Linked DNA regions of Rhinolophus ferrumequinum. The protein of the gene in region 1 interacts with the protein of each later gene in a pairwise test. Links are inferred from orthologs where the notes say so. Each region holds a gene or a part of one and is shown on either strand. Other genes may lie near its edges.

Region 1 (7,911 bases):
GGACTCAATCACATAAACTGTTTATAATTCATAACCCCTCCTTCACATCTACTTTTCCTCATTTTAGATTTTCCCGTTTATGACTGTGTAGCTCCTGCTGATAAGGGATACAACTTAGAGAAAGATACACCAGTTTCCCCTTTAAGGATATCAAACAACTTCTAAACTAGTGAGTCTCAATCTTGGATGCACATTAGAATCATCCGGGGAGCTTTTAAAACTATCAAGGTCCGAGTCACACCCCAGACCAATGAAATCAGAATCTCTAGAGGTATTATTTTTTAAAACGTCCTAGCTAATATCAAGGTGCAGCCAAGGTTGAAAGCCATTGTTCTAATCACATACAGCATTTGCTTGCCATTAAAACTGAAGCTTAGAAAAAAAATTTTGAGGCAACTTCACTTTCCCAACTTTGTTACAAACAGACTGTTTGCTGAGCTAACCATTTTCTTGAAGAAGGTTGGAATTCTTCTAGTCCTAATAAATATTTTTCTTTACTTTTCTAGTACAGACAGCACTTTTGATTTTTGGTATTTTAGATTGTTCAGATAACCATGACATAAAATGGTTGTTAAAAATAATGATGTTTTAAAAATGGAATCAATTGATATAAAGATTTAGCGATAAACTTTCTAAGATTATAAAAGATTAACTTGATGTGAAGATGAACACTTGATCATTTTCCTACTGTAGTAAACTACAAATTCTGATTCCTGAGCATTGAATTTTCTAAAACCTTAAACAGTCATTAGTTTTTTTGTTTTGATGATTTTTATTTTTTACCCTTTCACAAACCATAATTCCTTGCAGCATCTTCTCTATCAAGGTCGGTTTAAAAGGTGTAATGTATCAAAGAGGACAACCCTGTCACGCTTCTCGCTCCATATGCCATTATTACTATGGGGTCTTGACAGGTGTTCAATGTTCAGGACTAAGGGAAATGGTATCATTTTTCTCTATATACCAGCCGTAATTTTTGTCATGTACTTCTAGTCTAGAAGTCTGTAATACTGCGTTCTGTCACATGTGCAAGACTAAAAGCTTTATTCAAAACCTGAAAATCTTTTAAATTACTTTGATATATAGATTGGTGGTAGTTCAGGTTGCAAAAAATACACACCTTTCTATCATTGCTTTGCCATAAAGGACAACACCTGGATCACTTATTAAAGTGGATAAACCCACAATTTTGACTTTTTGAAGGCATTATCATTCTATGTTCTGTAGCACTCGTGTGGATTTAACACTAGGAAAAGCATTTTAACACTTTATTTTTACACATTACTTTTATAAAAATCCTCCAGTAGTACTGAGGTTAAAATGATTCAGCATTTAAGTTTAAGGTAAGTTAAAGGCAAGTTTTAAAAAATTACCTCAAAGTTCCTCTGAGTTGTCCATAGTTTATAATGACTTCTGCACCTTCTTTATAACCTTGATTGAAGCCTTGTTGCAGAGTAACTGCTTTGCCAGCCTCTAGTCCATCTCTATAACCTTCCTAAAAATAAGTAATGAAGAATTGCAGCTGTAACTAACATCAAGTGAACAACTGTAGATTTCCCCTGAAAGTCATAGAACCAATTTAGAAAATTGATGAAATAAGACTTTCCTGTGTATATTTAACATAAGGTTCTATAACATATGGCACAGCCACACAAAGTAGGCTATGCTCATAAAAACGTATTATTGGTTTATCTCGTTTTTGAAGTCTAGACTTATTTGCTACACTTTAAAAAGTACTAATTCTTATACAGTTTTTAAAAAATCCTGTGTTAGCAATGGCATCACAGAAAAGATACACAGAAAGAAGAATTATGTGTCTGGCCCCTTGGCAACTGATAGGATTGGTGTGGGAGGGTGAGGAGGCTGAGCAGTAAGTAGAGTTATTGAAAGTCTTGAATAATTAACTGGAGTAGAGGAAGAGGAAACTGGTTTAGCAAAAGGAAAAAGACAAGTCTGGTTTTAGAAATTTTGCTTGATACCTAAATTCAATCAAAGTACAAATTTTCTGTGGGCAGGGGTTTTGTCCTGCACCTCCTCTGGTGCCACAGCACTCAAAAGATGCTCAATAACAGATGTCCCCGCCTCATATAAAGTATTCCTGAAACTGACAACATGGTTGTTGGGCTAAACAAATACTATTTTAGTGAAACATTAAACAAAAGCAGATTTACGGGCAATTTAATTAATTGTTGGCAAGGATATTAAGTAGAAGTGGACCTCACTATTTGGTCCTGACTCTGGAATGCTCCACCTAGAAATTGGGTGTGTGGTATTGAGCTCAGTCTTATTGAATAGTTAGACAAATTAGAAATGGACAAATCACACCTAAGAAATAAAAAAAGAAATTAACTTTAATATTTCCTCACTTAGCCACCGGTATTCCGTATTAACTTTCCCTCATTGCCCTTCGACAACATTCTTATGTTCACTTTTTCCGTACAGATTAATACCGGCTCTAACTTTCGGCTCCTCATCCATTCGAGCAACCCGTGTAAACTGTGTACATATCCTCTGACAGCCATAATTAGTACAGTCAGTTTATATATTATACACTTCTCCTCCACCCCCTTTCTCTGTGGTCCTCATTAAACTGTAATCTGTTCAACGTTTAGATAGTTTATTTTGGTCGGACCCAGCGTCTAACGCACCCCACAGACCATCGCGGAACGCTCCCTGTGGTTTCACACGCTTTCAAGTAACCCCTTGGGAAATCCTAGCAGGACGCGGGCGGACCGTGTAAGCGGTAGGAAGGGCAGCGCCTGGCCGGGCCGGGACCACTCTGGCCTCTAATGTCCGGAACCAGCTTCTTCACAACTTCGCGCCCCTCTCCCCACGACCCAGCAGATCAAGGGATCCCCGCGCCCTCCACACAGTTTTACTTTGACGCGTCTCTGCATGTGGCTCCGCCATTCCCGCTGCACCAGGAGCGACTCGTCCGCTTCCTCATCAAACACTTCGCCCTGTTCTCCTTGATCGCCCACGAAAGTTGCGGCTTGAACCCACGACATCACCGAGGCAACCACAAGGCCGCTGAGCGCAGGAAACGCCCGCAACTCCTTCCGGTCTGAGGGGCGGGGCGACGTCTGCGAGTCGGGCTCGCGGGGCGGCTGCGCGTGCGCGTGCGCGTGCGCGACGGGGGCGGTCTCCGGTGGGTCCGGCGTGCCGCCCGCGCTTTCCGCTCCCTGGTGGTGTCAGCCTCCCTCGGTTGACTCAAAATGTTGGCGGATTCCTGTGGTGGGCGAGGCGGATTCTTTCCTCGCTGGGCCCGCCGACCTTGACCTCTGCGGGTCAAGACAGCCTGAACCCTTTGCGAACACTTCATTTTTCCTAGGGTCTCCCCAGTAAACTGGGTTTTGGAGTCGTGCGCGTTTGTGAAACCATTCAATGTAGTTCAGTTGATGGGCTATTACTAGGCAAAGACTCTGGTGTCTTTTAGAATCTCCCTCTGTGCATTTAAGGGATTTGACAGCCTGACGTTTTAATTATTAGGAGCGTGGAGCAAAGGAAAATAGAATCGAAAAGTTAGACACAGCGGCCATTTTGAATTCAATAAATGTAGAGTACACTTATGAAACTGAAATATTTCTCATTGATTCACAGCATCCTTCACTGGTTTCCTAAAAGTAGACTATTGGCTCGGTGAGGGCGGAGACTTGTTTACAATATACTCAACACCAGTAAGGTTCTGACTCTAGTAAATGCTGGAACAGATGCTAGTGAATGAATGACTCCAGTAGTATTCCTGATTCGCCTTTTTCTGCATGGTAATGATTTATTTATCTAGCAAATTTCTTTGACTACCTGCCGTGTGCCAGGCAACGTAGGCTTTTGGGATCCATCAGTGAATGATACAGACAAAATTTCCAAACTCTTGTGGACTTTACATTCTTGTAAAATTGACGGTAGATTAACAATAAGCACTATATAAGTAAATTATATAGTTTGTTATAAGATCATGAATGATATATGCTGTGAAAAAAAGTAAGGGGAACCATTGTAAGGGTGATGGAATACTTTTAAGGATTTAGCAATCTAGCTTGGTTTACTCAATTATAGTTTGATTTACTTTATTTTGTAGTTTATTATTATTTTTTTGTCTTCTTTGTTTCTCTCCCTCACTGCCCCATATAACTGTTTCCCAAGGCTACATGCATACCTTGTTCATCTAGTTAATCAGCAGAACACTAACTTGCAAGAAACTGAGTCAGCCTTCAGCCATCCCGACACCAGCAACCAGGTTGAGATTCCAGACTGTGATTTTCTGTCAGATGATATATGAATCACCCCTAAGACCAGGTTTGAGATAACCGAGGGGGAATAAAACAGACCCCAGGAGTCGTCCTCCCAGAGGAGTCACATGACTAACTCCCCCTTTCCTTTGTTCTCCTTCTTGTGTACCTACATAACCTTCTGACTGTTCTAGGAACAGAAAGGTGGCCTTTGAGACCGTAGTCTGCCATCATCTCAAAATGCTGGCATTTTGAATAAGCCTACTTTTCTATTCACAAACCCTTGTCTCTCAATCTTGGGCATAGGAGCAGTGAGCAGCTGAAACTTAGCTCAGTAGCACCATGAATATGTGAATGAAGGTGGGTGGGTGGTGCAGGTTATAAATTTAAATGTTCAGAGAGTATTTGGTAGATCCATGGAATGTGTATAAAAACATTCCATACTTGACCACAAAAAATACCTTGATAAACTTAAAAGAATAGGGATTTTACAGGTCATATTCTCCGATCATAATCCAACAGAATCAGTAATAAATAATAAAAATAACCCCAATAATTTAAACTGTAATATTGGACATTTGAAACACTCTCCTAAATAACATTTGGATCAAAAAGGAAATAAAAATTAAAATGACGTACAATAATCAAGTAAAATCAGAATACGTCCAAAAAATGTGGGACTAGAGGAAAGCTGCTTTCAGGGGCCCTTCCATAGGCTTAAATGTCTTTATTATTAAAGAAGAAAAAAAATACATAAACTTACTGTGTATCTTAATTAGAAACAAAATGGTAGTATGGGGAAGCAGTAAAAATAACAACTGAAGTTATAAAATAGAAAGCTCCAAAACTTGCATAAATAAGTCCAAAAGCTGATTCTTTGAAAACACCAATAAAATAGATAATCCTCTCTTGATCCTGATTAAAAAAAAAATTATACAAGATAGACATGAGAAAGGAAGTAATGATGCAGAAGGAAATTCAAATATTACAAATTACTAACTGAAACTAAAAAAAAAACACATTTGAAAACCTAGGAGATATGAATGACCTCCTAATAAAACTGACCCAACAAGTAGGAAACATGAAGAGACAAATTATAATATCGTGTTTCCCCAAAAATAAGACCTAACCGGAAAATAAGCCCTAGCATGATTTTTAAGGATGACATGCCTTGAACATAAGCCCTAATGCGTCTTTTGGAGCAAAAATTAATATAAGACCTGGTCTTATTTTCGGGGAAACATGGTAGAAAAATTGGAGATTAAATATCTATAAAAATAAGATGGAGACTTGATAATTTTATAGTTAAATCCTTTTAAAAGAACAAAATATTAAAAAAAATATAGTTACATTCTAAAGCAAAGAAAAAGATGGTAATTCCCTAAATCATTCCATGAAGCCAGCCTCACTGTCACTTGATAAAGTTAGTATCAAAAAAACCCCAACGTTCAAGTTAGCTTATGAATATGTATTCAAAAGAGAATCTAGTACCTTATCAAAAGAATAATTCAAGAGGTTTTAGTCAAGGAAAGTAAACTGTGGCAATATTAGGAAATGTATAAGCATATTTCATTGCTTCAGCACTTTTATTTTTTTCTCTCCCCTTCTTCTGCCTCCCACACTCCCACTCCAGTTCAAGCCATTGTTTCTCAGTCTAGTTGTGTAGGACACAGTTCCCTGGCCCATGCTGGTTATTATGAGCCTTACGCTCACCCCGGGCTGAGGCATTCGTAGGCTGCCAGCCGCTCATGTTGGCCACCGGCTGTTCCTGGCAGCTGTACAGCAGCTCAATGCAGCCCTGCTCCAAGGAGAGCTGTGGTTCACAATCTTAGCTGTAGAGGGCGCACCTTACTGGCCCATGTTTGAATCAAACCAGCGACCACAGCGTTAGGAGCATGGGGCTCCAACCACCTGAGCCACTCAGCTAGCCCTGCTTACCAGTTTAAAGGAGAAAAGCCATATGTTATTTGATAAATGCTGAAAAGTTACTTGACAAAATTTAAAAATCACCCTTAACACAATAAAATAGAAACTAGAAATTTACACTTTATGAAAAATCCAACAGCGAGTAGTATTCTAAACAATCAGATGTTGAGATATTTCCTTTAGAGAAAAGAGAGGACACCTGATGATCACCATTATTATTTGACATTCTTTTGGAGACTAGTGAATGCAATAAGAGAGGTAAAATAATCTATATAAATGTTAGTTAGTAAGAGATGAAGTTATTCTTTTTGCTGTTTATAGATCATGTGCCTAGAGAACCCAAAGGGCTTCAGATAAAAATAGAATAAGAGACTGTGATAAAGTCTTTGGGTATAAAAAAGTAGACCAATAGCCTCTTTATTTTCTAGCAATAACCATCTAGAAATGTAAATGAGATCAATATTCCACTTGCAATATCAAGAAATACTGTTAGATATAGTATTTACATATTTGTTTAGTATCCTGTATTTATTAATATAGCATGTATAAATGTCAAGAATATAGTTTAAAAAATCAACTCTATTGAGGTATATACATGCAGTAGTATACATATATTTTGAGTGTACAGTTTTGATGTGTTTTGACAAATATATACATCAGTGTAACCACCACCCAATCAAGATATAGACATTTCCATCACCCTAGAAATTTCCCTCATACTTCCTTGCAGTCAATTCCTCACCCCCTGAGGCAACACCCATCCAATTTCTATCATTCAGGATTAGTTTTGCCAGTTTTAGAACTTCACAGAAATGAAATCCTATCTGTCTTTTTGGTTCCTTTGACTCAACATAATGTTTTTGAGATTCGTTCATGTGGTTGCACGCACTAGTAGGTTGTTCTTGATACTTGCTAAGTACTCTTCATTGTACAGACGTACCATAATGTATTCATTCACTTGTGGACATTTGGATTTTTTCCAGTTTTGGGCTATTTTGAATAAAGCTGCTATGAACATTCCTATGAACAAGTCATTTTGTGTACACATGTTTTTATTTCTCTTGGGTAATATGTAGAAGTGGAATTGTTGGGTCAGATGGTCAGTAAAAATGTATAGGAAACTGCCAAATTGTTTTCCAAAGTGGTATTACACTCCCACAAGAATGTATGGGAGTGCCAGTTGCTCCACATCCTCTTCCTTACTTGGAATTGTCGGTCTTTTTAACATCAGCCATTCTGATAGATATGTAGTGCCATCTCACTGTGTTTTAATTTTTGTTTTCCAGATGACATGATGTTGAACATGTTTTCCTGTACTTATTTTCCATTTGCCTATCTTTTTAATGAAGTCTTTGCCCATTTAAAAAAATTGGGTTGTCTCATTGCATTTTATTTTATTTATTTATTTCTGTTTTGCAGGAAAGCAAAAAAAAAAAAAAAAAAAAAACACGTTATGTTGAAAACGAAAGTATACCCTTGAGATGAAAGTGTGAGTGAACTCAGAGAATGAGTTCACTTGCATTTTAAAGGTTCTTTATATATTCTGAACTTAAGTCCATTGTCAGATACATGAATTGCAAATATGTTTTTTGCATAGTTATAGCCCATTGGGAAATAGCTGTGGAGATAGAGGTAGGACTTCATGATGTTTTGTGGGGAAGGGAGCATAACGCTTGTGAAAGATAAAAGGAGGAGGAAACGTGAGTAGGCAGAGAATCTGATACCTACAATAGAAAAGGGAGGAGGAAGCGGGACC
Region 2 (7,639 bases), on another chromosome or scaffold:
TTAAACACGTACCAAAACCTGTTGATATGCTGGCAGGTTTCTTCTTTAATCACGAGCAGAAAAAATGCTACATTTTGTTTTTCACTTGCCTTTTTTTGTCCTAATAAGATGAATGTGTTCCTAGGTTAACAGCTCTAGTTCTCCTTGTCAGGTTTGGTTTGGTTAGTTTTGGAGGCTGCCTGCTATTTTGCTGCAGATACATTAAATAAAAAAAAAAAAATCAATTCCAATAAGCAAACACTTTTCAATAAACTTTGATGAATTTTGTTTTTCACGTTAGTTGTAGCAACTTGGTTCTCCTCGAATTTGACCAAGAAAATGTGAAACAAGTCTATTTTTTTAAAAAAGGCATTTCTGAGATACTCTTTTTATTTTTAAAATGAATTTTTTGGGGGGAAGATTGGGGAACAGTGTGTTTCTCCAGGGCCCATCAGCTCCAAGTCGTTGTCCTTCAATCTAGTTGTGGAGGGCGCAGCTCACTGGCCCATGTGGGAATCGAACCAGCAACCCTGTTGTTCAGAGCTCATGCTCTAACCAACTGAGCCATCGGTCCACCACAAAATAAGTATATTTTTAAAACTGTGTTTTATTTCTTAACATAGTGAATCCCTGAAAGGTGATTATATCTTACCCTTTATACCTTTTGTGATAAATTAAATGTTTAGTAATAGTGTTTTGAAACTACTGGAATACATACAATCAAGGCAGCTTTCAGAGAAACTAAAAATTGAAGCTTAGAAAGCTCTACAGTATCTTTCAAAACCCTTTTAGATAGTTTTCATTGTATCCATACAAATTTATCGTTTCTTATTCCATTTAATTAAGTGGAAAAATTTCAGTTTATAGGATATACACAAGCAAAAATCACAACTCTTTTCTTAAAAATTGACATAACAAGGAGAGATATTAATTCAGTTTTTTGCTACCTACTTTTTATGAGTTTAGTTGCTAAAATGACACCAAATTTGAAACGTATATAAGGATTTTGAAATAAACATTTGCACTTTAAATCTCCGCCTTTTCTACATTCAGGGTCCTATTTTTAAAATCTGGTCTTTATTTGAAAATGAAGCAATTTGTGAATGCAATATCGAAAAATCCAAGATAACGTAATCAGACTTTTTTACCTTTTAGATTAAGAAAATCTGGGTTCAAATCAGTACGTAAGGAACTCAATCAAGGAACCAATGGGGTGGGTGGGGAGAGTCTCTTCAAAGTTTTATTTTCAAACTAATAGTTTGAATCAATAGTGTTGATTTTTGTAAATCTTTCAAAGTTTGCACAATTTAAAACAATTTGAAATTAAAGACTTGTGGACATCTGTATAAGTTTTCATGTCCATAAGTTTTATCCCATAATTGGTCTTTTTTTCCCCTCACCACATATCTGTTTTCCTGTGCCCAAAGAAAATGCAGTATAAAATATACAAAATGCACAATAAAATATTTTCTTGTCTTTTCTTTCAGCTGATAAAATTTATGATAAAAAATGTAATATACATAGTCACTGTTTTTACATATATATGTAAAAGAAGAGTTCTCTTATTAGGGACATGTTTGTAATATAATATTAAGTGGGCAGGGGGAAGGACATAAAATTTTACATATATTAAGATTATTTTCATGCGAAAATTCAAAGGAAAACAATGTAACAAAATTAGCTAAAATTAATCGGTGGCTAGAGTAGTGAGAGAGCAAATTTGTTTGCTTGCTTGTTTTGCTCTTTTTCCAACATTCCAAATTTTTGTGTTTTCGTTTGCTTATGAAAAAAATAAACTAAAAAGGAAAAGACATTTTAAGAACACAATAATACACAATCTGTTTAATTTCATCTTCCAGAAATGTTTTTTATTGGGCTTTTTATGCTGACCTGAGAAACTCATGTTCACTGTGCAAACATGGAATATTCAGAAAAATATAAAAGACAAAAGTTTACGTTCCTGTAATTTTAAAATCTAGGTATAGTCACCGTTAACATGGTGTACTTACTTTCATTCTTTTTAAAAGCATAATTATTTGGTGTAATTGGAACTGGAGTACAGGTAGATTTTTTTTTGTGTTTTTTTCATTCCCTAAACATCAGGAGCATTTTCATTTTCCATGACATTCCTTTTGTTTCAAACATTATTTTTGGCTGTTGCTGACGAGTCTTTGCTGTGAGGATCCTACCATATAGATGTCACCGTTTCACCATTTTGTCACTGTAAGTTGCTTTCTCCTTCTGGCTTTTCCAGATCACACTGCATTGAACATCATTGTACAATTATCACTTTTCTCTGATTATTTTTCAGAGACGAAGTATTAGAAGTGAAATTACTAGGTCAAAATTGAAAACCATTTAAAATACTTTCCTGTCTTTCTACATTACCTGACTAAAAAGTAGTTTTAATTTATGCATCTGTGGGCAATGACAGTATCTTACCATTCTAAAAAAATTTTCTTTTGAACTATTTTAAAAGGTAAAAACTGTATCTCATTGTTCTTTCACTTAGTACTCCTAAGATTACAAGTAAGGCTGTCTTTTTCTTTTGCCAGCCAGGCTTGATCTCTTCTGGGAATTATGTATTCAAATCCTGGCCCATTTTTTTTCTATTTCAATTAAGTTCTTTATAAACCCGAAATAGTATTCCTTTGGTTATAATACTTATGATAAATAAATACCCAGGTTATTCTTTGGTTTTTAATTTTATTACCACAGTTGGTATGTACAAGTTTGTATTTTTGTGTAGTAAAATACACAGGTTTTCCCTTTGTGATTCCCTCCATGGCTTTTCATGTATTAAAAATGCTTTCCCATACTCACCAGAATTATCAAATGTCCTTTAAAAATATATATATAAATATATATCTTTAAATTGTCTGGAACTATTTTAATGAATGGTATGAGATATAAATGGAACTTGACTTTCCCCAAAAGCCAATTTTTCCATTATAGTGACTGATTAAAATATCCTTCCCCCATTAATTTGTGGTTCTTATTGTGTGAGATTTTACGTCTACTAGAATCCCCTTTCAGGCCATTCTACTATATTTCATTCATCTGTCTCTTCTTGAACCAACATGTCACAATATTTTTATTGAAACTTTATCATTTCATATCTGGTAAGTTCTCCATATCATTCTTTTTCAAAAACATCTTAGTTATTCGTATTCATCCAGATGAAATATAGAATTTTGACACATTTCCCCCAGATGCCATAGAATTTTGTTCCTATCCAGGGTCATTCCTAGCCTGCAGCTTTCTTCATATGGATCCTGCTCAAATCTTCTTATTCCTAAGCAATTTATTGTGACTATGGTAAAGAGGATTTCCCCAGTCCTCCCTGCTCAAGCCATGACTATTGTCACAATAACAGAAAGCAAGTGCTTTTTTTTTTTTTTTTCCCCTGAACTCTGTCCAGTTCTGAGAATGTCTCATTTTTTTAAAGTGTATTTTAAGGAGAATACTTCTGGTACTTCATGTCTATGTTCCATTGTCACTGAGTTAGAGGCACCTTCTTAAAAGTGTACTCTCACGGAAAGGACAAATGGGAGAACTAGGGCTAGGTACTACTTACACAAAAGGGGGAGCATGCCTCCTGCTGGAGTGGGGGCACCGGTTGCTCTTAATTCCAAACCCTCTGTACTATTGGATTCTTGACTTTGCATGAATTATGAATCACCTGCTTTTGCTTTAAAAACAAATAAGAGCAAGAAAAAAACCACACACACACACACACACACACACCCCTTTTATTTCAGGCTTTCCAATAACTCTTAAGATTTCAAGAGGGGGTGCCAACATTTATTGTTGCCATTCCCGGCGAGTGTTAAGACGGCGAGGCTGCTTCCCTGTCACCTGCTGCCGTTGCCGATTCTCGAGGGTCCAGTCAGCTTGCGTTTCCTGAACCACGGCCCGCAGTCCCTGGATTACTGTTAACGTGGACTTGGTGGCATTTTAGGCTGCGGTCGGGAGCCTAACGTCGTCCTAGAAGGTGGCCCTTGGCTGTGGGTCGGGGTCAGCGAGCGCGGGGGGACGGGCCCGTCCCCCCTCCTCTGTGTCCTGTCGCCACCCCAGGAATTGCCCTTCCTGGCCATTTTCCACCCCAAATCCCACGGGCGGGCAGCCTCCTGGCCCCGAGCCTCCCGAGGCATTTGTTCTTTGATAGCTTTTCCAGTTTCTTCCCTGGTTCTTTCTGAGCCGCTTTTGGCCATTCGGTTCCATCTGCTCGGTTTTGTAAAACTGAAAACATGGGTCACACCCCCTCCCGCTGCCAGGTGGACGCTCCGGGTTGGGACCCACCGGCCTATTGAGGGAGCCGAGGAGGGAGGGGCGGGGGGCGGGGCCGCGTCCCCGCCCAGCTCCGCCCAGCTCCGCCCCCGCGCACGCGTTGCGAGCCCGCGCCGGCGCCTGCTGGACCCTGCCGCGCGCCGTCCTTACCCGGCCTGCCCCGCGCAGCCGCCGCCGGAAGTGAGTTTCGCCTCTTCGGAAGCGGATGGTCCGCTGGAACCTCGCGGGTCGGCGGCGGCAGCGGCGTGTGGCGGAGCTCCGGGCCAGAGGCGGGCCGACCTGCCGCCATGGCCGGGGATCAGGACCCGTTCGACGCCATCGTGATGGCGGATGACAGGTGAGTGGCAGCCTTCGCTGGGACGGGGACCCCCGCCCCGTCAGGTGAGCTCTGGAGCTGCTGGGCTGCGGGCTGCGGCGGCCGCTCGGGCCTGGTGTCCCGGGCGTGGGGGCCTTGCAGGGGCGCTCTGGGGTCCTGGGAGTGGCGGACACGGGTGGGGCCGAGATGCTCTGGATCCTTCTTTACTCGTCGGCCGCTGGGGCGGGCGCCCGGTGCCCAGCTGCTCCTGCAGACCCGCCTCCGCGGTCGGGCTGCCCCAAGCATCTGCTCGGCCTCCTGACTGCCTTCCTCCAGGGACGCCCCGTCTTCGCGTGCGACAGACCTTTGCCATCTGGGCCCTGCCCCCTTTCCTTGTTCCTTAATGGTAGGACATACGGCGGCATTCATGGCCACGCTGATGAATGTGTGCGACGTCCTCCCTGCCCCTGCGGAGCCCCCGGGGAGCGCGGGGGCTGTGACGCGGGGGCGCTGGCAGTCGCCGTGTGCCTGCCTGTCTGAGCCGGCAGTGGTGTCGGGAAAGCGGACGTGCACCCGTCAGTGGCCGACGTTTGTGTTGTGAATCTGGTACCTTACGTGTTGTACTTTGGTACCTGTTTCAGTCGCCCAGATGAGGCAGGTCACGCAACCAGCAGGCGGGAACTCCTGTCCTTTTTGGTGACTGCAGGTTCAGGCGGTGCCACTTGCCCCCGTTGAGCCCCCAGAGTCAGAGACTTGATTACGCTCCAGGCACCACAGCCCTCGTCCAGGTTGTGGTGCCCTGATGGCATTTCTCTCTGCGCGTCTACTGAGATGTGATGGAAAGCCCTCCATGGATTGCGGGTTTTTTGAAGCAGTTGGTCCCGTCTGGTATCTTACAGACTCCCTGGACTTTGTGCCACCCGGGCTGCACAGCAGGGTCCCCTGGGAAGTTTCGAAAAGTAGATTCCTGGGCCTTAGTTCAGACTTACGCAATGTCTTCGAAGTTTCCCTGTGTGTTTCTGGGGTCCCTCCAGGTTTGGGAGTCCCGAAGTAGCTCGCCCCCCTCATTGGTGAAGAGGCTTCAAGAGATAGGGCGCCTCCCCCCGGAGGAGACTTAGGGAGGGGTAGAGCTGGGAAGGGAGCCGGAATGTTCTGTCTTACGTTTTCTGCTTTTTCTGCTGTGCTGTGCCTTGTCTCGCTGGGTTTGGGTAACGGGGGGGAGCAAAGTCTTCCCGGGAAGAAGACTCTCTCTCCTCTTTATGTGCTCAAGCGTGCTGCTTCTCTGTCCCAGGTTTCACGGGGAAGGGTACCAGGAAGGCTATGAAGAAGGCAGCAGCTTGGGTATCATTGAGGGAAGACAACATGGCACATTGCACGGCGCTAAAATCGGATCTGAGGTGAGTGGGAACCCCTGCGTTGAAACGAATCCTTTTCATGTGCCGTTTATAATTTACTCTGATGGTCGGGATGAGGGAGCCAGAGCGTCAGGCCTTTTAAAATGGCAAGAGACTAGGCAGAATGTTGATGGAGAAATGCGCTTGGTACGGAACTGTATCGAGAGAATGACGTGCGGGTTGGAGAATGACAAAACCCATCCTCGTTCACCTCAGTTTACCTGAATGTCGTGGTGCTGCCTCGGGTCTTAAGCCAGCTGAATCCTCACCCAGAGAATGTCATGTGAAAACATTCCATTTTCATTTACGCCAAAATTCCGTAAAATCTATGATTTGCCTTCTCCTCGGCCCAGTGCCCTCGAGTGGCCCTCACGGACAGCTGGCACTAAATGAAAAGTCTGAGGCAGTCATGACTATATTACATGTCTGTTGCTGCAAAACGAATGGCCACGAAACATGTGGGCTTAAGCCAGCCACCGTTTATTATCCCCCTGGCTCCTGCCGGTCAGGGGTCTGGGAGCAGCGGAGCTGGCTGGCTCTGGCTCCGGGTCTCCTGATGATGGAGCCAGGGCTGCAGGCGTGTGAAGGCTTGACGGGGCTGGAAGAGCCCCTTGTGTGGTGCCGCACACAGCGATTGTTCTCGCCCTGTGGACCTCTCCACGGGGCTGCTTCAGTGCCCTCGTGACACTTGAGCCAGTGATGAAGGCAGAAGTGACCTTGTCTGTGATGCTTAGCCTCAGAAGTCACGTGCTCCCTCTTCCTGAGTTCTATTGGTTACACTGTCCACTCTGGTACCATCAGAGGGGCTGCCCAAGGACATGGTCTGTGGGACCCCCTTGGAGGCTGGCTACCCCACTGATGACCTAATTTCTGTTGCCTGATGCTCAACACATACTTCTAGAACAACAATGTAAGACACCACTGCCCTCCTCCCCACCTATTGTTTTGAGAGTAGGATAATTAGACCAAGGGTAGCTAGTTACTTATTCATTTCTCACTTAAATGTTTTTTAAATTTACAGATCGGGTGCTACCAAGGTTTTGCTTTTGCTTGGAGGTGTCTCCTGCACGGTCGGGCCACTGAGAAAGACAGGTAAAGTTTGAGACTTCTTTTTTTTTCAGTGTGTGGACCAGGAGTTCTAGTTCCATTAGCTTGCTGTGACCTTGAGCAGTTAATGTCTCGGTGTCCTCATCTGGAAAATGGAGAAAATCATCATACCAAACTTGAATGTTGTTATGAGATTCACAGGAAATAGTACAGTAGTCTCCCTTATCTGTGCTTTCAGTCAACTGGGGTCTGAAACTATTACATGGAAAATTCCAGACATAAACAGTTCATAAGTGTTAAATTGGGCACCATTGTGAACAGCGTGAGGAAGTCTCGCGCCGTCCTGCTCCTGTGTGCCCAGGACGTGCATCGCACGGTGTCCAGCGTTTCCACGCCGCAGACTCTCCCGCCCGCTAGTCACTCAGTAGCCACCTTGGGGACCAGCTCAGAATTGCAGGGCTTGTGTTCACGTCACCCTCATGTTACTTAATGGCCACAGAGCGCAGGAGTCGTGATGTCGGCCACTCGGGCATGCTGGAGAGAAGCCATAAAGGGCTTCCTTTAAAACAGTATGTAAGGGTTCGGTGCTGTCCATGGGGTCTTAGAATGTACCCCTGCAGATAAGGGGGGCCTG

Evidence for each region.
Region 2: the proteins of YAE1 (region 1) and LTO1 interact in binary tests that used the Homo sapiens proteins (3 or more experiments, as listed by UniProt). The link is inferred for Rhinolophus ferrumequinum from reciprocal best matches to the Homo sapiens genes YAE1 and LTO1.

The regions. Positions count from the first base shown.
Region 1 is NC_046303.1:53,279,069-53,286,979, reverse strand, and holds the start of YAE1 (protein YAE1 homolog), read right to left. Parts: upstream 3,073-7,911; 5' UTR 3,009-3,072; coding exon 2,880-3,008; intron 1,496-2,879; coding exon 1,374-1,495; intron 1-1,373. UniProt on the Homo sapiens protein: The complex LTO1:YAE1 functions as a target specific adapter that probably recruits apo-ABCE1 to the cytosolic iron-sulfur protein assembly (CIA) complex machinery. May be required for biogenesis of the large ribosomal subunit and initiation of translation.
Region 2 is NC_046294.1:3,471,743-3,479,381, forward strand, and holds the start of LTO1 (protein LTO1 homolog), read left to right. Parts: upstream 1-4,439; 5' UTR 4,440-4,556; coding exon 4,557-4,606; intron 4,607-5,855; coding exon 5,856-5,961; intron 5,962-6,979; coding exon 6,980-7,050; intron 7,051-7,639. UniProt on the Homo sapiens protein: The complex LTO1:YAE1 functions as a target specific adapter that probably recruits apo-ABCE1 to the cytosolic iron-sulfur protein assembly (CIA) complex machinery. May be required for biogenesis of the large ribosomal subunit and initiation of translation.